2 linked regions of the Lonchura striata genome follow. The protein of the gene in region 2 binds, or shares a complex with, the protein of the main gene of each other region. Links are inferred from orthologs where the notes say so. Each region holds a gene or a part of one and is shown on either strand. Other genes may lie near its edges.

Region 1 (10,662 bases), on a different chromosome or scaffold from region 2:
CAAGCCCCCAGCCACCATGCAGAGAGCCCCTCCAGCACGGGACGTCTCTGCAATGTAGCACTGAGGCAGGACATGGTGGGGGCCCCCCAAGAAGCAGCCTCAGGCCCAACAGCACTTTCAGAATTTCTGCTTCGGTCCTCACCTGTAATCCTCACTGGCGGCCAAATCCCGAATGTCCTCTTCAATGAGGAGGTAGGCCTGTGGCACAAGGCAGGGGACACCTCAGGGTGCCTGCGAGGGGCAGCCAGGGCAGGCCCACACCCTCAGCCACCACTGTCCCCGTGGGAGCCAGCCGTGCCTCCTGGCCCATGCCCCAGTCCTGTGGGAGGGGACAGACCTTGGCAGCGCCGTGTCCCCGTGCCCTGCCTATCCTGCCACCGCCGCCTGGCCCCGCGGCGGGCCCTGCGCCCGGCCGTACTCACCATCTTGCCCCCAATGGCCCTCATGTGCTGCTGCTCTGTCAGCCAGTGCTTATCCTGCGGGTCGGCTGCGTACTGCAATAAAGCAGCAAGGACCGAGCTGAGAACGGGCGACAGACCCTCCCCTGAAAGCCCCGCTCTGCTCTGCCCCCGCTCCGCCTGCCCTGCTCCAGCCTCAGCCCTGGCTCTGCCACCCCTGCTGCCTTGGCAGGCTGCGACACCACTGGCTAGTGTTATGTGCTATCCAAACCTTGGGAACACGATCTAAGACAACATACAAGGACATGGGGGAGGCAGTAAGCAAGGGAGCTGAAACATACATTCCTAATTCCCATGGGAAACCATCTGGCTGTGGCACCTGACCTTAAAGAGGTGGGGATGCTTGATGTAGAGTCGCCCTCTTGTTCCTCCCATCCCGAGAGCTCTGCAATAGGAACATGAGGGGTGTTAGGGCTGTGGGGAGGGCAGCTGTGGTAGCACAGGGACACCCCTCTCCTCCCCAAGCCCTTCCTACTGCTTTTGAGGCAGAGAAGCGAAGTGACGGGAGGAGTGTCACGGGCTCCTGCCTGGGGACACCACCCTCCATCGACAGGGCCGTTCCTTACTTGTTTGCTCGAGATCCCAGCACAAAGGTTGTGGTTTCAGTCAGTCGGGATGGATCCCACTACAGAGCAATTGGAAAAGGGGCAACATTAGAAATGAAGTTGCTGCTGGCCATGCTCCACAAGCCTCGGCTCTTTGACAAGGGAACCTTGGAGCTGCCTCCAGACTGGGAGGGAGGGAGCTGGCCAATGACCTCCAGCCTTCCTCAGGGGAGGGATGTTACATTCCGTCTGGGCTGATCTAAGCAGTTTCCCTCGTGGGAAACACTTGTGGGATTCTCCTGGCTACTCCCGGTCTCCTCAGGCCTCCCTCAGCGGCACCACACTGCAGGGCTACAGGCTGGGTGCCTGGGGAGACCAGCAAAGGCCTCCGGGCACTTCGCTTCCTCTTCTTGCTCCCGCCCTGCCCAAGGCCCCAGCAGGGCAGGGCACAGCCCGCGCTGTCCTGCGCTCCTGCTGGTGGGAGCAAAGGGGAGGAGAGAGGGAGCCCAGCAGTGTCGGACAGCTAATACCTTTGGTCCATCCCTTTTCACAGGCTCAGAGACTTTGAGCTTCCACCTGAGGGGAAGGAAAACACAGTAAGAATGAGTCCCAGTGGGATCAGCTTAGTCACCACCAGCAGCAGGGACTGAGCTCAAACCCTTCCAAATCCACCATTTTTTCACACCCTCCATTTCCCCACAGCGCCCGGCTTTGGACCTTCAACTTTGCTGCACATTCTCCTCTCCTGGTTGCCCAGATCCCACCATCCCCTGTGTCTCACCACTCATTCTGGATGGTCCATCTGGACCTTTTCACCCCTTTGGGCCTGTTTAAAAATCCCTCCCTTTAAGGTCTTTGCCTCCTGAGGGGAACACCTCAACCTAACCCTGCTTCTGCCCATACCCAGAAGAGCTCCCATTACTTCTCTGTAAGAGAGGAGTCTGTGGGGTTTCTGTGCTCCCCACACGCAGCCTCATTGTCCCTGCCCTCCCGAAACAGGGGCTCTAGCTCAGGGTTTGTACTCACGTTGCCATGCCTGAGACTCCACGGTCATTTGACAGGCTCTGTCCTGGAGGCCGCCCCTTCCTCTGCATGGAAGAAACCCTTCTGTGACCCAGCTGTGCTGCCTGAGGGAACCCTCTCAGCAACCCTCCCTCTCCCAGGGAAGCTGCTTCTTTTGTCACAGGCAAAAACACTGCCTGCGCCAGAGTGAGCACCTCCAACGCCTCAAAAAAGCTGCCCGTGCACCTCCCTGCACTCACACTGTGGGAATGGCCAGGAATGAGGGCCAGGCTTCCCAAAACATAAACTCTCTTGTGAAGAAAACCATCCTACCTTTTTTGGAATGGGGCTTCCTCGGCGGCTCAGCTCTTCATCCATCTGTCGGGCACGCTGGAAGGGAAGGGCAGTGGGATGAGCAGGGCTCCTCTCCCTACCTGGCCAGGTGAACACTGACCCCAGACCACCCCTGTGAGTAGCACTGAACTGCAGCAAGCAGCACCCACACCTGGGATTCTCTTTGCCCTGCATTCCCTTCAAGCCAAACATCCCCCACTCTGTCTCTGCACTACTGCACTGGCAGCCAAGAAGAGTCAGAGAACAAAGTAATCCCAACTCTTCTCCCAGCTTTCAGAAGTCATTTAAACCTCTGTGTACAATCACCACAATTACCTTTGGCACTGCCTGCTCATGGGGCAACCTGGGAACCACCTTTTTGCCATCTGAGAACAGCAGTTTGGCCTAAAGGGAGACAAAGAAGGTTCCCTGGATTCTGGGCTCAGAGAAGGCCCCATAAACAACCCCCACCTCTACATATCTGCCTAAAAACCCTGCAACAGCTTTGCTTTTGGAGTGCTACCAGGCCACGCTTCCACAGACAGCCAGATGCAAAAGCACAATTTGAGCATGATAAATTCTGGCAAACTGGCAGATAAGCAAGACATGAAAGGAAAAATCCTGGCCCACCCTGCTAGGACCTTCTGACGGGTGCTGGGGGCCAGTTTCTGTGGGACTCCAGCAGTGTGCCATGTTCCTTACAGCAGCAGTGAGAAGAAGCAGCATGAGCTGCCCAGCCCTGACTGCTCCCTTATTCCCAGAGAGAGTCACACAATGGCTGCGGATGTCCCCTCACAGTGACAGCAAAGCTGTAAAGAGGGACACATTCTAGCCAGGTTGCTTTGCTTGGCTGCACACTCAAGAGACACCTCCCCAGCACCCACCTGCTCCAGGCAGCTCCTACAGGTCTCCTGGATGAGCTGCTCTGGGTCCACCTCCTCCCCAACGTTATCACGCACGTTGATTGCTGCTGTCTGGAAAAACTGAAGAGGAGAAGGCAGGAGAGGGTGACAGCCTGCGCAGTGTCAGCTCGGCTCCTGCAGACAGGCGCGATAGCCTCGGTGGCACCGAGCTGTCCCCACGCACCTGCTGCTGCCCACCCGCCCCCAGCGCTCACCTTCATGTACTTGTTGAAGATGCCCTGGATCTCCTCGTTGATGCTGGGCTGCAGCACAGCCCGCAGCAGGTCCATGGACACGCTGGGGTCCGTGAAGCTGCAGGAGGAGAGGTCAGGAGGGGGGCGCGGAGCCCCCTGCCCCGGCCTCTCTAACCCGATCCTCCCTGCGCCCGGCGCTCCTCCCGACCCTGCAGTCCCATCCTTCTCCTCCATCCACCTCATCCCCTGGCCGCCCATCGCGGTCCCGCAGTCCCATCCTTCTCCTCCATCCACCTCGTGCCCTGGCCGCCCATCGCGGTCCCGCAGTCCCATCCTTCTCCTCCATCCACCTCGTGCCCTGGCCGCCCATCCCGACCCCGCAGTCCCACCCTTCTCCTCCATCCACCGCGTCCCCTGGCCGCCCATCCCGGCCCCGCGGTACCTGGTGGTCATCTGTGAGCGCCGCCCGCGCCGCTGCACCTGCCGGTGCTTGATCATGATGTTCCAGGGGCTCTGCGGGACACACGCGTCAGCCCCGGCCCCGCCGCGCCCGCTGCCCGCCCGGCCCGGCCCGGCTCCCTCCTCACCGTGCTGACCAGCTGCTCCTCGACATCGCCCGGGCCCTCCTCGCCCGGCGGCCCCGGCTGCTGCTCCGCCTCGCGGGCGGCGCCCATGGCCCCGCTCCGCGCCGCGCCGCCGGCGGCCGGATGCGCGGGGACCCGGCTCCTGCATCATCGCGCCCCGACGGACGTGACGCGTCCCGCGGCGGCGGGGCCGGGCCGGGGCCGCGCCCGGTGCGGGCTCGGCAGCCCTGCGCTCGCACCGTGCCCGCCCGGTGTCCCCGCCGGTGCCGCGGGGCGAGGCAGGGCGGCGCAGTCCCTGGAAGTCACCCGGTTCCACCCAGAGCAGGACCTGGCGCGGGGGGAGCTGGGCACACGTGGATTCTGTACCTGCAGCTGGAGTGTGAACGCCAGTCTTTCGTGATCTCCGTGTTTCCTCGTGTAATTCCTCTTTCTGGAATCTCGTTGCTTTTCTGAGGAAACACCCCCAAACCAGCATTTCCTCATCTTGTCTGATGTGTGCAGAATAGTCAAAACAACTTTTCTGTCGTTTTCTAGATAATCTCACCCCATGTTGTGGTCAAAGAGAAGCTTTTCTGTTGAATCAGCTGGATAACAATTTGCACTGATAAGCCATTTACTATTTCGGTAACATTCTCTCTCATTCCAAGATGATTCAGTGGGAGAAGCCAAGCACAGGGCATTCGCTGTGCAGAGCAGGGGTGTGCTCCAGCAGCCATCTCCAAGTGCTGTCCCTGTCCTCTGTGCCAGTGGGGCTGCCCTGAGCCGTGCTGCGGGGCAAAGTGGGATCTCCTTCCCACCAGCTTTGCCAGATGCTCAGTCGTGTTTCATTTGTGTTCAAGGGATGAGTGCACATGGCACCTGGAGCCATGGTCTAATCGACAAGGTGGTGATCAGTCACAGGTTGGATTTGATGATCTCAGAGGTCTTTTCCAACCTAAACCATTCCGTGGTTCTGTGACTAATGCTGTGGGGGCTGTGTTGGTACCTCTGGAGGATGTTGTGCTGGTGTTTCTCAGCACCTGTCACTGCAGCCTGTGGCTGTGTCCCCTCAGTGTGACTCTCCTGCGGTAGCTGTTGGCTCTGCAGTGACCACACTGGGCTCCCATGGAAGCCTGGAGTGGCTGTGGGAGCAGAGGCTGCTGACTCGTGGGCTCACAGGGTGGAAGAAGCTCCTGCCTTTGTCCCCTTCCTGCTGCTTTGGCCAGGGCTGCACCCGGGGTAAGCTTTGGGCTGTTAGACAAACCCAGTGGTGGATGTGGGGCCAACCAAGTCATCATCAACATCGACATAACTTCATTATCACCAGCACTGGGCTGCTTGTGTGCTTATTTTGGTTGCTTCAAGTTGTCAGCAATAAAAACTGGACATTGTCCAGAGGAGAAGAAGACTAACTGTGTCTGTACGAATGCCCAGAGAAAGGTGAGGAGAGTGATACTGTTAATCTTGTCCACCTTGGTGGACAAATGTCCTATGTGTTTATTTGAATTAAGTGAGGCTGACATCAGATCTTTGGAATAGCTTTCCAATTAACAAGAAGACTTAAATCCTGAACAAATTCTCAATGATGGAGAAAACACTTTTGCAGAGAGAGAGATATCTTTTCAAGAGTGTGTCAGGGATCACCTAAATCTGACTCATGTGGTGCCTTATTTGGGTCTCCTCCAGATCCTGGTTTTTAATGGTAATTTTTCCATGGATCTCTGTGGTAGGTGCATGTCTGCCAAACATGAACACCTGGTTCACAGCTGAGGTTACCCATGTTCCTGCTTGATTCTCAGGGAGACTTTGGACAAATCTCTGACCCTCAGTATCCTCAAGCATTTATTTCATCAGAACAATTTGCTTGTCAGACATTCTTCTCCATTTGATTCCTAAATGTTATCCAGGATTATGGTCTGCTAAAACAGAAATGTGCCAGAATTATGGTGTTGTTCCCAAAAGCAGGAACCACCAGGCAAGCACGGGGACAGCAGCAGTGCTGAGCTCTCCGTCGTGGCACTCCTGAGGTTGGAAGGAGCCTTGCCATCCCTCAGGTTGTTCCAGCTGGTTCTCCAGGTGCGTGGAAGGGAGTTGGTGCTGCTGACACCGGCTGGCCAGCACTGCCTGCCCCGGGGTGCCCGGCTCGGTGATTAACAGCCCCAAACCCGCGATAAGCACCGGGCCGGCGGGTTCGGCCGGGCTGCCAGGCGTGGAGCACCGGATCTCCGGTGGACATGGGTGGTTCGTGGAGGAATTGCATCCACCTTGAGTCACAGCAGGAGGAGAAGGATAAGCCTGTACTTAAAGCATTTTTCTTGCCATTATCCCTCTTCCCACACAGATTTGTGGAGACTTGTGCGGAGCTGTGCTCCTTCCTTTGCACTGGCCCTGCATTGCCTTGATGAGATGTTGATGGAAAGCTCTTTGAGCACGACTTTGCTTTTTCAGTGCTCCTGTCAAGTGCCAGCTTAGAGTTGTAGCAATAAGATCAATCTCAAACTCATTAATTTCACTCACCCCGCAGTTGCAAATTTAAACTTTATCTATTATCCAGAAACTCCAACCCATTTGTGCTTGGTGCTGATGTGTCCTGGGCAGACCAGTTCTTAACTTCTCCTACCCTATTCATTGCACATTGCTTTGTGTGTAATGCAGAAAGAAATAATTAAATAGAGAAGGAAAAAATTGGAAAATCAGATGCCAACTCACACTCCTGGGTGACTGGAGAATAACTTGGTGTAGATGGGTTAGCACTCACAGAATTGGATCTTAGTTAAGCTTAATCTGCTGCCTTAAACATATTAAATATGTCTTTACCCTGAGATCATATGCAGAGGAAAGGAAGGCAGTGTGGCAGTGCATCTAATTTTCATTTACTCTGACTGTGAGTTTCTGGTGAAGGCCAGCAGTTTGGCTGGCAGTTTGCAGACAGATTCCTGTGCCCTCCTCAGCACAGGTGAGCTCTTTTGCTTGAAGTCCCAAGACCTTTTCCTCCAGAGAGGTCTATTTTAGTGCAGCAATATTTCATTGGAGCAGATGTTCGCTTGGACAGTAAATAATCTGGTGTTTGTACATGCAGTAAGTGTGCACTCCCATTGCAAATTCATGTGGTTATTGAATGTTGTGTGTAAATTAATAGGGCTCTCATGCATGGACACTAAATCCTGCAATTCATGTTCAGGAGTTCCCAAAAGCTGATGGAGGCCTGGTTAATGGAGTCTGGTTGGTCTGGGGGAAAGACATACTGAGCTCTGACTTTGTCCAGAGTGAGCTGAGCTGCATGGGCTATGCTGTGAAAAGGAAGGTCCTGGGGAGGCCACAGAGCAGGAGGACCATGGGGACCAACATGAACTTGCTCGGGAAACTTTGAGCTCATTTGTGTGCCTAAACCTGGCAGCGGACAGTAGGAACTCTGAAAGAGCTGGAGCCCTCTGCTTGAGAACGGGATGGTTCAGAGCCAAGTGTTCAAATGAAGCCTTGAATCCTTGACCTACAAAAATCTGCAAAGAATCTCCACGTGTGAAACAGGAGCCTTGAATGAAGGGCATTTTGCATGTGGAAAAAGGGAGCTCCTGGTGCTGCTGCCAGGTGTTGTTGCCCTGATCCTGCTCCATCCAGGATGGCAGGGCCAGGACAGGCTCCAGCCTGCAGCAGAGTCCAGCACTGGGGCAGAGCCCGGCACTGGGGTCACTGCTGTGGATAAAGGTTATCATGGGCATTCCTGCTGAGAGCAGCAGTAAAGAATCTGCCTCTGTGCAGTCCTGGATCTCCCTTCCATCCTTCAGTCCTTGTGCTGTCCTCCTTGGAGTGCAGCCAAGTCTGGATCCTGCTCCTGCCTTGGCTGTGGGTGGAGCTGGAGTGGCTCTTCGGTAAACAGAATTAAAGGCAAATGTGGGAGGTTCCCGAAGTCACCTGTGGCCTGCCTCCTCCCATTCCTGGACCCGGGCTCCCTGCTAGACCCTTTAAATTGCCAGTTGGCACAGCCCTGGACACAGACTTCATCAGCATGGCACCAGGCATCCTCCTGCTGGGGCTCCTCTCCCTGTGGGCACAGCTGCAGGCAGCACCCATTGCAGGCAAGTATGGGTGGGTGGGAAGAACATTTAAGAATGTTTTTTCCTTATTTTCATAGAATCACAGGTGTTTTGCAGGTGCTGGCAGGTGCCAGGTTGCTGCCTTGTGAGGGCCAGGGAAGCCGTGGGGTGAATTGGGGGGATGAGCCCAGTGCCACAATGAACTGTGGCACAGTGCCACCTCTCCCCGACTCCCCGGCGTACCTGGAGCCCATGTGGCTGCTGGCCCCAGGGCAGAGGTGCCCAGGAGAGCCCCTCAGGCACCAGCCCCACCATGACACTGCCATGAGCTGGGAGGCAGCAGCATGGTGAGTTGCCTCAGCCTTGAGGGCAGCAGGGGTCAGGCAGAGCCCTGAAAGCCCCCCAGGAAAAGCAGCAGAGGAGAAGACAGCACAGCATCGTGGTTAAGTGGGCTGCCGGGTGGGAGCAGTGGATGGAAGGACAGCATGCTGGGGCTGATGCTGCTGCTTTCTGCTCTCCTGCAGAGTTCCATGGAGTAGCTCCAGCTGGGTGGCCACCACCAGGACAGCTGGGAAGAACCCTGAGCCTTGAGCCTGGGGAAAAGCCCAGCACAGTGCCTGACAGCAATGGTGGTGATGGTGACAATGACAACAACAGCTCCAATAGAAATGAAATGGGTGATTCCAATAGCCATAAAAGTGGTGAGTCCAATAGCAGTGAAACTGGTGATGATGGCCACAATGCCAATGACCATGATGGTGATGATGGTAATAGAAGTCAACTTTGTGATTGCAATGATCATAATCATGGTGACAACCACAGTGATGTTGGTGATGATGGTGTCAAGAGTGACCATTCTAACAGCAAGGAAGATGGTGATAAAAATGATGGCAAGGAAAATGACAATGGTAATGGTGACAATGACAGTGGTGATGGTGATGATGGTGTCAACGGTGACAATTCCAGTAGCAATGAAGATGGTGATGATGGTGTTAAAAATGACCTTTCTGATGGCAAGGACAACGACAGTGACGATGGTGATGATGACAGTGACGATGGTGATGATGACAGTGACGATGGTGATGATGGCAATGATGATGGTGGTGATTTCATCAGTGATGAAAATTCCAATAGCTATGAAGATGGTAATGAAGGCATCAGTGATGATAATTCCAATAGCTATGAAGATGGTGATGATGACATCGACAGTGACAGTTCCAATAGCAGTGAAGATGGTGACTCCAATGACAATGAATATGATTACTCCAATAGCAATGAAAATGGTGATGACTATGGGGGGTGGAGATTTTAGATTGTAAGGGTGTAATTGCCCTGGGATTTTCAGAGATTTTTGGGTTCCTCTTATGTGGCATCCAGCTCAGGCTACCAGATTTCATGCTTGACCTGTGCCAATAAATATATCTAGTGAACATGAGAGCTTAGTGTCAAAAATTTCTTTAACAGCTCGGCAACCCAAGTGAGGCACTTGTTCACTTGCCTGTTTTCTTCCAAGCACCAGATATCCAAATTTGCAGCAGCAGATGTTTCACCCAGGAGCTCTGGTGTAAGGAAGGACTAAGTAGTGAGTGTCAGATCTCTAAAGGAGATTCAAGTCCTGCCTTCTACAAGTTTGGGTTTTGTGGGTTTTGGGAAGCATGAGCAATGTACCTGGCATAAAGAAGAGGATGACTTAGCCGAGGCACGGCAGAACTGGGAGAAGATAGTTGGCACCATTAAATGATCTCTAAAACTCACAGTGATGTTATGCCAGGAGGAGGGGCCATATATTACTTGACATGTGGGGCAAAACCTGCAGAAGTGTGGCCACACAGGGGGTTTCAAGGAGTCTGTTTTGATTTGCCTTCAACATAGATTACAGAACCAGTACACAGGGCAGATGGACTGTTGATGTGTATGGGATAACTGAGCTTGGGAAAAGCAGCATCTCGGGAGTGGGGTTGATATATGATATCCTGAGGTAAATTCTAGCCCAGACTCTGCTCCTCCCTGTGTGCCAACTGAAAAAGATTTTCCATTGTCTATTCCTGTTGCTTTGCTTTCTATGCTCTCTGCTACTTCACCTGCAACTGCCCCAATCCAGTCTGGACAAATTATATGAGTACTATTATCAATGGGCAGGCAACAATTGTTTTAACTTATATCCATTGGCCCTGGATACAGGAGATTTAGTGTTGTGGGCTACTAACATGCCAAGGCTGAGCGGAGATGCAGAGCAATATGCTCAAATTATTTTCTTTCAAATTTGTGCTCCACATGATGAAAACTGGCAGGATTGAAAAGCTATGGAAGAAAAGCTAAAGGTGGCCAGGGACTGTATAAAAGATGAAAAGAGCAAAGGAGTTTTTTGTAAGATATTAGATGTCTGCACAGAAGCTGCCTGTTAGGATAGGAAAAACTATAGCAGAGAGAAATAAGATCTGAGAGAGAAGCAGAAGGTTGGAAAGAAGCTGTATTATTGTCTTTGAAAACTGAGAAGCTGCATAAACAGGAAGAAAAGCTACAGGAAGAAAAGAAAAAAAAGTCAGAATAAAAGATTGAAGTTATATTTATGTGAACTCCCTGTCCTCTGACATTGTATAGATTAGAAAACTAACTGCTATCCCCTGAAGA
Region 2 (10,941 bases):
CCAAATGGAAAAATCCCCAACCATCCAACTGTTGTAGTTGCCTGAAAGAGCAGTAACATTTGTTTTCTTAGTGGCACAGATGTTAAGAATGATGATCCTATAACTTGGTAATGTTTCTTACCATTCATAGCTTCAAGAAGAGAGGAGGTTTGGGGGTTGTCTGTGTGGTTGGTGTTTTGTGTGGTTTTTTTGGAGAGGGTTGTTTTGGTTTTTTGTCTTAGTTTGGCAGTTTTTTTCTTCCTGCAGTTTTTGGATGCAAATTTGCTGAATCACTTCCCATTCTTGAGAAACCCTAGATGTTTTCTCCATCTTTTCCATGATGCACATTGATACATGAAGCCCAACGCCATGATTCCGTGGTGATTGTTAGTGCACAGTGGATTTGCTATTCTCTGCCTTGAGCACAATAGATTACTGCTGTTTCTTGTTGGTAGCATAAAAGACAACATATTCAGAACACTTCTTGTGGGGCAGAGATTCTGCTGAGAAAAAGACAGTGATTGCTTTTTTTATTACTTGAGACAGTAGTGGTATCAGATGATACCTCTCATACATATGAGGAAAGAGTAAAGAAATGAACAAGTACCTATAAACAGACACTATGGTAAATCCAGCAGAGACAGAATACTTGAGTTTGGTATTTGAATACTTTCTTCATGGTTGCCTTCATGGATTATGTGTATTCCTGGCTCTTCTACTGTACATCTTGGTTACATTAGCCTCTTCCAGATAACATCCTTTGCTTTCTCAGTCCACTGTGGCTTCAAGGAGCTGGAGAAATCTCTGCAGGAGTGGGAGTGGGGGGAGATGAGGGAGGAGCATGCATTTGCAAGGGAGGAAAGATCCTCCTTATTGTGTAGAAGGGGAGGGTTCTGAGACAAAATGTCTGAGATGCATTGATAAAAAACTTCATTGCTTCCTGTTTGGATTGCTGCATTTCCTTCAGCTGGCAGTCCTGGGGCAGCCATGAAGATACATGTTCCTGTTGGCTAACAGAAAACATAAATAATGCTCAAATGCTCAGTGGACCATGTATATAATATAACCACATCTGTATTTGGGAAGCATTCCTGCCTTGGAATACCATATTCTATGTAGGGCTGTTGCCATGAAATTGTGGTTTATGCCCTATGTAGAAATGGAAAAAAATTGTTTTAGATTGTACTACAAGCCTTTTAAGATTCCCATTGACAAGAAAAAAAAGAAAAAACTGTAAATTTTGTATTAAAAAAGAATAAGGAGAGGAAAAAAGAACACACTCCATAATGAGAGAGGAAAAAAGAACAAACTCCATAATTGTACTAGTAAACATTAAGAGAGTAACTGAATTAATTTTCCTTACAATGGAATATGCAATGTACTTTATGCAAAAAATAAAGAATATTCAGAGATCACAGAGATAAACAGACCAACTGGCTGGGATCGGTCACAACTTGGTATTGGAAGGAATCATGGAGAACTGCCAAAATACAACTAGGTTCCAGGTATGGAAATCAGAATGATGCAACTTTCTTGTGAATTTGTGAAGAACAAAACTTCACAGCAATTCACCAAAAACTCTACAGTGTAATGGTGATGACAGGAGAAGCTGCAGCCTGACTTGCACCAATGCAAAGTGCCAGCACAGGCAAGCACGGAGTGACAGAGAAGCAGGATTAAGGAGTAGAGGGACAGATAAAGTCATCAAGGTGCATAATTATGTGCTTGCAGATTATCCTCTGTATTTGGTACCTGCCTATCACATATGTCTTATTTATACATGTTGGCATCTCCCACTGTGGTTTACATTCCCTTGCTATTCTGTAATTTATTTATGTGATGGAATAGGGATGAATCCTCATGAGAGAGTACCATGGGCTGCCAACAGAACATGGTGTTAGCAAATGCTCACTTTCTGATTCCCCTGATGCCCCTAGATTTATGCAGCATATGTTTCAATGTAATTGCAATGGTTCTAAGTCCTTGTCACTAAAACCTGTTTGGGCTGGAAGTTTCTTGAATGACTGTAAGGGTCAAATGATCTAAAATGGGCTTTGAGATTGCTGCTGGTAATACATGAGCTACTGAAGATCAGAAGAATTTCCTAGTTGACGTTCTCTATAAGAGATGACTTTAAGGATGTTCTTCTATATATGCACATACATACATAGATATATATCTTGCATAAGACATATAAATAATAAATAACACAAATATTACAGAATCCTACAAAGATTCCAGAATCCTGCAAATACACCATGTGCCATTAGTTATTACCAATTACTTGAGTCAGTGGGACAGATCTTATTTTTATATTATTAAACAGCCTATTGATCTAATTAAATACCTTCTGCATGGTTCAATAAAAAATTGGTCTACTTAGAGTATTAAAGAAACAACCTAGATTATTCTCTGTAATACTAATTCCTAGTAAATAACATCAATGTTATACAAAGAGAGAAAAAATATCATAGCATATTGTTTCAAATTCTTGATCTTGTTGAGAGCTACTAGACCATGGACTTTTCCCAAGATAGTAGCATTATTATATATATTATCTAAATTATGATGATAAATAATTAAATAGAGCTAAAGAATTTATGGTGCTTTATATTTTCAGAGTTCTAATATACATATATTCATCAGTTCATTTTCTAATTTTCCTCTCACACAGTATGTAAGAAAATATAATCAATAAATATTTAAGAAAAAAAACCAGAAACAATTTACAGGCAGTTTCTTATTTTTTTAACTTTTTTGTTGTTTTTACATTTTTTTAATATCATCCTCCTTAAGGTAATTTGAACCTAATTTTCAGAAGGACTTGTATCATTAATCAGTCAACTGAGCAGCCAGAAGAATTTGGTATCCTACTATTGTACGTGTAGATTTGTGACACTTTGGTGATGGGGCATGTTGGAGTTTAGTACAATCTGCATACTGAACTCCTAAAATGCAGGATAAGTATAGTGTGACAGAAGGGTTTTTATGTGGATTTGAGCATTGGGAGCTAACCAAACTGAGCTATTCAAAATCCATGTGGCCTTCAGCTCACCACTTAGCTTGTTCAAATACTGTATTTTTCTCTATTTTAGTGAACAATGTTACCACAGACTGTTGTTTGTAAAACAAACAAACAAATAATGTGGCATTCTGGGAAAAGTGATAGTAACTGCAGAAAGATTACAAAGTCTTTTAAAAACTATACAAGCTAGCAAAATTAGGAAGAAAGCATCAACAGTTCTGGTTTTCAGCATGCCACATAATTTGTTACTTCATAGATTCCCGCACTGTCATTCCCACCACAGCATCTGAGCTTCTTTCAGTAGTGTTTAAGCAATGTGAATAACTTTGTTTCACATGTGGTTTCTTTTCTAAACCACAGTGATCCTCCCTTTCCCTCATGTAACAAGGTTTCCTCCTGGTTCTCAGGGAGCCAGGTCATGACACTCTGTGTGTGTGTACATATGTATTTACACATGCATGCTCTATAAATACATGTAGTTTCTCCCCAGGCTGATCAAAGAAACTGAATCTTGCTCAAATCTAGCTTGAGTGAAGTGTTTTAATTTTAAAGTCAGATAAGAAGAGTAAAATACAGGTACAAAGGTTTTTGTTTTTTTTCCTTTTTGAAAACACTTTTAAATAGGCCAAACCCCTTCTTTCCAAACATTGTATATGTCTGCATCAAGTTTCCCAAGAGAAGTTGTACCCAAGCATAATATTTCAAATATAGTAACTTGAGTGATTAATTCTGACAAAGATGGGAAACAGACATTGGTATTGGAGAAACTAAAATTTCCCTGTAGTATAAAGTAATTGGTCTTGTATAAAAACCATTTTTATGAACATTTTCTCCTGTAATAGTGCTGGGAAATGGTGACTATGAAGGAATGGCTTTTTTTGAACTTTCACTGCTGTGCACTGGCAGGTGAGTCTTGGCAAAGTGCAGGGCTTTGCATTAGTCTGTGTTGAACTTCACCTCCATTCGCTGGCTTGTCTAGAAGCAGCCCTGCCTCTGAACATTGAATATATTTATGGGATAAACATTGCAGCTATTAATTACTAGTTTATGCTGACATTAATATTTTTCAATAAAAATCACATCCTATTGAAATTTTAGAGGAAATTTCGGTGTGATTATGAGGTGGAAGTTTAGGCTTATTAGAATCTGAAACTCCTATTACAAAGGGTGTAAATGCTTTTTTATTGGCTATAGTGGTTAAGACCTTCATTTTATACCTAATTTCAGGGAGAACTAATGGCTCCATAATGTCTCCCATCATACCGGAGCACAAGTTCAGCTCTTGAGAATTACAAAGAGGGCGGGACCTTGGCTCTGCTCTGGCACGGTGAAAAGAGTGCCACCTACTGAGCCTGTGGCTCGATTTTGCAAACTTAAATATGCAGAGCATAGTCTTTAATCCAAATTCTGACTCAGTGCAACCCAGTGTATTAATGATATGAGTCGATGTTGTTACACTACAAGATGTGTCTGTACAAGCCAAAGAAAATGAAGATTTTATATGCTGATAGCTAGGAGATCTTCCAATCTCCTTCAGTGTAGTAACAAAATAATGACATAACAGGGAATGCGTGTGCATTAAGTTTTGTCGTTGTAAAGCTGATAGAGGTGCAGCCATCGTGTAGTCTCAGCATATGCTGAGAATAGGAGAAAGAAAAACTTTTAAAAAGCATAGCAAAAGCTGTTACTGAAAAGAAGAAAATTATGATGGCTGGTTCTGGAGAAGATGTAAGGACCATGTAATGTGAGGAATGGAGAAACAATTTAAGAGTGTATAACTGTAAAATCCTTACAAAACACTTCATAAAACTTTTATTGCTTGGTAAGGTAAACACTAACATACAGCTCTATAAACTTCATGATGCCTTTGAAGTCTTTCTTCTATTTTAGATCCATAAACTAGTTGGTGTACCTACCTGCTTGCTTGTTTTTGTTCTCATCCCATTTGGTATGTTTAGGAAATACAGTCATTCTTTCCTATAGATTTTGCATCTTACAGTGTGTTTCAGCTTTGTCCTTATGGTTACTATGTTGTATTTGGCTCAGCATTCCTATCTGCATGATACATTATTTAGGAGGGAAATATCAAACCCAACAAGTTAAAATATCTCCTAGAGAAGGGTAGAAAGCACACTCCCTACTCTGTGCAATGTTAGCTTCTGTAGCCGGATGATGACGTTTCTGCCATTGTCTGCTGCTTTTATGTGATTAAGTATTGTGAAACGCAAGATGCTGCTCATCATTTTACTCCCAGCCTCCAAACAGGTGAAGTAGAACATGCATTTGTTCTGTCTGGAACAAAGAGATACACTTTACTGTTAGGACATGATTTAAAATCCCAGAAGACTGGTGGGATTCAGGTTTATTTTTGCTTAGGTTTGTTCTTCCCCCAATGAAAGCTGACATAAGTAATTTCAATCTCAGTATCTGATGTGCTTCATGGGAGGTACCGATTGCCTAACATAACAGAGAGGAAATAACTCCAGTTTATTGAATCTCTCTTTTCAATCTTTATTAGGGCAAATTAAATTAATGAGTTGTATGCCTTTGACTACAGATATTTATTATATGTTCAATAATTTGTTTGCTTTACATATTAGGTAATTTGTGAACATCTGGGAATATTCTTTCTATATTGATTTAAATAGCTGCATTATATTTAAATAGCATTATATTTAAATATAATGAATTTGGAAGACCAAATGGTGCTATAGCAGAGTTTTCCTGAAGGTCCTATTGAGACAGTGTTGCATCAAACGATACCTCTGGTTGTGAAAGAAAAAAAAACCTTTACCAGTAGTACCTGTGGCTACTATTTTGCTCTTTACCACACCATATGTCTCACTGTTATCCTCTGCACCATGACAGGAAAAGATTGGGTGTGGTAATTAGACTGCTGACCTGGGACTCATCAGAGTAACCTGGTTATGCATCTGTAGTCATAGGCAAGTCACTTTTCTGGGCTCCTGTTTCTACATATCTTGAGCTTCCCTGGTAAAAAGTTCTGCAAGGAGCTATTGTGAAAGAAACATGAACTACAGTGAGCAGTACAAAAATTACTTCTATAATTCACTCTATAAGGCAATACATGCTGGAAGGGAAACTACCCTGCTGCTCTGGAAAAAAATCCCAAAATCCAGCAATGCTGCTGGATTCAGTGTGCACTGAATGATCTGAGCCTGGATGGAAGGTAAGCACGTGGCAACGTGCACACTGGAGAAAAATGTTTGGCATTTTCATGTTGTTCGATGTTTCCCTGAATATGAGTCTAATCTGTGAATGCTGTCTAAAGGTTATTTTATAATCTAAAAGTTTCACTGATTGTAACAAACTCGAGTAGCAGAGCAGTCTACAGAGGGAGCAATGACAAAGCAACTTCTTTATTTCCTGCCTTAGTAGAGTAGAGTAGCATACCTACATTTGTCAGCACACTGTGTTTTTTATTCTCGGACCAAGGCAGCAGAGGAAGACATATTCCAGAAGAGGAGCTGGACATTTTTTAGAAGCCTCAGAAGTATGAATTATTGTGAAAGTAAATTTCAGGTGTTGGTAAAACAGCCAACAATATAGACACGACCTGAGGATTTGCATTAGACTAACATCCTTTCTCCCTTCCCTTTTTTTTTTTTTTTTTCACTTTTTCTTCTGAAAAAGTGAAGAGAAAAGGGACCAAAAGGCGGAAACAGAAATGCATGTTTTCCTTTGGTACGGGTTTCCTTAAACCCCAAAAGTTCTTTGTTTTTCTTTAGAGAGAAAGGACACGAAGCCTTGTCTTGCTGAAGAGCCTGGCTCTGAACTCGGGGCATCAAAGCGGCGCTTTCCGCCGGGTACCGGACACGGCAATATTTTGCAGGGCTTGGCTTGGCTTTCAAATCAATGCTGCAAACTCTCTGCCCGCCCCTCACTCGTTGGGGATTTCCTCTCCTTCGTTGCCAACAGCAGCGACAGCCAAGCGCAGAAGGTCAAGCCGAGCCCTGCGGACAAGGGCAGGGGGCCCGGGCCCGTGCCGGGATGAGGCGCTGAGGGCCGGCGGGAAGCTGCGCCGCGGAGGGAGGAGGAGGAGGAAGGCGGGAGGAGGAGTTGAGGAGCCCGGGCCCGGGAGCCTCCCCGCTTACTGCACTAGGAAGTGACGCTTTCGCTGAGTCCCGGAGAGAAAGAAACAAAGTTTGTTTTTTTTTTTTTTTTTCTCTCCTCCTTCTTCCCTCCCGCCCCCCTCTGCAAACAGCCGCTCCACGTTCCCCTGCGGCGCCCTCCGTGCCTGGCTGCGCAGGTGAGCCAGCCCGTTCTCTTTCTTCCTTATCTTGTTTTCCGCGCGGTTATTATTTTTTTTTAATTTGCACGATTTGCTTCCGTTTTCCTGCCATTTTGGAGAGGGGGTGTCTTTCCTGGGGCTTTTTTTTTTTTTTGTGGGTGGTGGTGCGTGCTTTGTTTGTGGGTGCTGGGTGCAGGATGAGGAGCAGAAGTACCTGTGGAGGTGACGAGGGCGGCTGGCTCCGCGCCCGGGCCGCGCAGCCCCACGGGGCCGGGGCAGCAGCGCTCCCGGCCCGCCTGCTGCGGGGGACCAGGCTCGGCTGCTGAGCCATCGCCTCCTGCCGTACCCGGAGTTGTTACAAGCGCTCCGGAGGGGTTTCTTCGCGGCTGCCAGGCTGCTGCACCGTTTTCAGGATGTGTCCGTGTCCGGGTGAGCTGCCTGCGGATGGAATTTTGGGGGGTTGGTTTGGGGCAGGGGGAGGTTCTCTTTGCTCGCGGCGTGGCGGAGCCGGGGCAGCTCGGCGTGTGCGGGGCCCCCGGTGCTGCGCGGGAGCCGCCGAGTCCCGGCAGCCGCTGAGCGCGCATCGTGGCGAGGGTCGGATCGCTCTGCTGGGGTTTACGCAGTGGAGGGGGGTGGGGAGGAATTTGTTAGATAATTTTTGAAAAATCCCGTGCTCTCAAGTGTACAGATATTTTCTGGCAGCAACTGCAAAAGACCGATTCGTTGCAGTTTAGCAGTAAAAGCTGACAATACACCTACGCGCGTATGTGAGAGTCTTATATAATACTTACGGGTTTTTTTTTTTTAACAGGCGTAAGCAGGATTTATTTTTGGTTTGTAAAGTCTTGTGTGATTGCAGCTTGCAGAATTAGCGAAATATTCGATTTGCTCAACAGAGATTTACTGTACATTCTTTTAGAAACATCTAATTTTTTAATAATAACTTGATTTCATTCCGACTACGTGTTTTGAGCTTAGTGTAAAGGCCATCTATACTGGAGCAAGCAGTTCAGGGAGGGGAAGAGAGAAAAAGAAATGTCCTAATGCAGAGACTATTAGGTTGTTTAGAGGGCGAGACTGCAGTTCCAAGCAGCAACAGCAGCAGCTTTATGACTGTGTGTAATTACAGAGTGATTGCATAGAACAGCATTGTTGGAACGAATACGTATACACAGGCTATTGTGCAAGATTTCTGTACCGAACAAAACCTAGTTTTGCATTGCAAATGCTAAAAAGAGAATGTGTTCTGCAGTGGACTGCCACGTTCCTCTTTGACTCCTTCATAGACTTGGAAGAGGAAGATAGGAGAAGTGGAGTGAGGCTGATCGTAGAAATCACAGATCTGAAATACTCAGCAGTAACGCCACTAGTAGTTTCTGAAATCACAGCAAACAGAAATTGAAAGCTCATTGAATCTGCGGGATCATGTTTCTAAAGTGATTTTATACAAGGTGAAATCTAAGCAGGTTTGCTACAGTCCTGCACATTTAGCATAATTCTTGATCTGTTCTAATTTTTTGTGTGCTTGTGTGGGAAAAAGACCTATGTTAAAATAAGCAACTGCAGTTTAACTAGCTAGCTTGGCAGTGGAGAGAAGGGCACTGGGGAGAGTTTCTGTGTCAGGCCACAAAACTGAGAGCCTGAAAGAACTACCAGACCAGAGATTTGCTCAGAGCATGCTTTTTCAATGTTAATTCAAAAGTTGCATCTGGTTCAGCGATCTTTTAGGCAGTGTTGGCTGAGGGATAGTATGAGACACTGAGAAAGTGTGCCACTGACACTGTATTAGCAAGGCTTTTAACTAAGACTTTAAAGAACATCATAATTATGGTAAAGTTCTTGTGGATACAACTTAAGGTCTCTAAGATTTCTTTTTCAGCAATGCTGGTCACCTGTTATTTTTATCAGCTGAGTTTTGAGAGTACTTGGAATGAATGGCATATCAGATCTGAAAGATTTCAGCTCTGGTGCTCAGAGACTGGCCTTTCTAACATTAGAGACAATTTTCTAGAAGTGTTATCTTCAGCTATTATAGCTGATGTCTTAATAAATGCTACAAAGGCTTGTAAAGTATTTTGAGCACTGCAATGAAAAGTACAATAAAAATGGAAAGCTGCTTTTAAATTTCTTGGTGCTCCACTACAAAATATTTTAGCTGAAGGCACAGATCATATTATTGGTAGTTTCCTCAGGTTGTCAAAAAAATGTTTCATGTAAAACACATGTGGCTTTGCTAATGAAGAATGAAGGGATCTGCTGATGGTGTTTTTTGTGTTCTGTTTATTGGGGGTTTTAATGTCATTTGACAAACAATCTTAGTGATCCTTCTGTAAGTTTATTGGAGCATTTTGCTTTAATAGAACATATGAAATAAATATGTTAATACATGCATTACTGTGATGTTCTACTTGTGGATTTTGCTTGAAATTGTACTTCATGTCTTGACTAACTTGACAATCTATGTTATATTGGATGTTCTAATGTCAGAATTACCTCTGGAGTAGTTCTTAAAGATTTATTGAATAATTTGTGGTAGTGATTCAATATAGTCATTCCTTATGCTAAGTCTTTTGGTTTTCACAACCTATGTGGTAGGAGAGAGTTTTTGGCCAGGATTCTTTGGACTTGTATACAAAGGAGTAGGTAACTTGCACGTCCTTGAGTTGTCCTGTGGTTCTCAGTGGACTTAGTCATAGATATATATACATTTGTGTGCATGCTTGCAAAACAAAGGTGTAGCTGTGCTAGCCTTTAACCCATCCAGGTGCATGCGAGTAGTGATGATATGAAATTATGAGAGCTGTAGCACAATGCAGGCTTTTCAAAAGCCTGCATAAATGCTCCAAATGTTAGTTTACATTTTTGCATTTTCACTCTTATGGTCACCTGTCAGTGGTGGCTGCAGAACCATGGGAGATATTTTCAAGCCCATCATCCCTATCAATGATACTCTTCTGTCAAGCTGCTAATCAAGCCCTTAAGTTGCCCCTGACTTGAGGACACACAGCCTTTCTTTGGAAATGGCCACCTTGGTGGTGTGTGTGTGGAGGTGTGCCCAGGCACGTAAGGAGACAAGAGGGACTGCCATGAATCAGAGTGAAAATCTGTCTAGCCTGTGGCCCTGTTTGCAAAGGTGTGTATATTTTCTATATGCTTAGCAGTTCTTGAAGGATTTCTACTCAAGAAACTTACATAGTTTTCTGTTGAGTTTAGGTAAACATTTAGCAAACACCTTTTTTTAACCTACTGATCAAATTGTGCAATAAGAATGTTCGTAAAAACTGCTTTTTTTTTTCTGTTGTTTCACTTTTTATAAACACTCCCCCCATAATAAAAAATAAAACACCCAAAGTACCAAAACTCTGAGATTTTTTGTTTGATTGTTTTTGTGTGTGGATTTTTGTATTGTTTGGTTTTGTTTTGTTTTTTTTGGTCTGGAGGATTGCATAATATCTTAGTACTGTTTGCAGTAAATTAAAGTTTATGCTAAAATGAAATATAGTAAATATGAATATTGTCTCCAGTGCAATTAGTTACAGTCTAAGAGACATGAAGTGAGACGTAAACCACGTTTTGTGAAATGGGGAGGTGAGGAAGGCAGGAGCTCTGGTGGTGAGGTTTTGCAATACATGCTCAAAAAGCTGCAGGTTCTGGCACGAGCAAACCAAGGCTCATGAGTCACATC

What was found. The genes of interacting proteins can lie anywhere in the genome.
Region 1: the proteins of MIDEAS (region 2) and DNTTIP1 are in contact, whole or in part, in a cryo-EM structure (PDB 6Z2J), measured with the Homo sapiens proteins. The link is inferred for Lonchura striata from reciprocal best matches to the Homo sapiens genes MIDEAS and DNTTIP1. Residues at the interface, in NP_001036783.1 of Homo sapiens: Gln768, Asp771, Leu772, Thr774, Ala775, Ser778, Ser779, Ile802, Leu803, Leu806; in NP_443183.1 of Homo sapiens: Pro63, Ser66, Leu69, Leu70, Ala72, Val73, Leu74, Pro76, Ser77.

What each region holds. Positions count from the first base shown.
Region 1 is NC_134619.1:8,171,581-8,182,242, reverse strand, and holds the start of DNTTIP1 (deoxynucleotidyltransferase terminal-interacting protein 1), read right to left. Parts: upstream 4,130-10,662; 5' UTR 4,109-4,129; coding exon 4,022-4,108; intron 3,948-4,021; coding exon 3,877-3,947; intron 3,553-3,876; coding exon 3,456-3,552; intron 3,322-3,455; coding exon 3,223-3,321; intron 2,744-3,222; coding exon 2,675-2,743; intron 2,396-2,674; coding exon 2,339-2,395; intron 2,092-2,338; coding exon 2,030-2,091; intron 1,580-2,029; coding exon 1,534-1,579; intron 1,084-1,533; coding exon 1,025-1,083; intron 844-1,024; coding exon 783-843; intron 495-782; coding exon 423-494; intron 199-422; coding exon 143-198; intron 1-142. UniProt on the Homo sapiens protein: Increases DNTT terminal deoxynucleotidyltransferase activity (in vitro). Also acts as a transcriptional regulator, binding to the consensus sequence 5'-GNTGCATG-3' following an AT-tract.
Region 2 is NC_134608.1:35,884,284-35,895,224, reverse strand, and holds the start of MIDEAS (mitotic deacetylase-associated SANT domain protein), read left to right. Parts: upstream 1-7,053; 5' UTR 7,054-7,274; intron 7,275-7,405; exon of another isoform or gene 7,406-7,685; intron 7,686-10,941.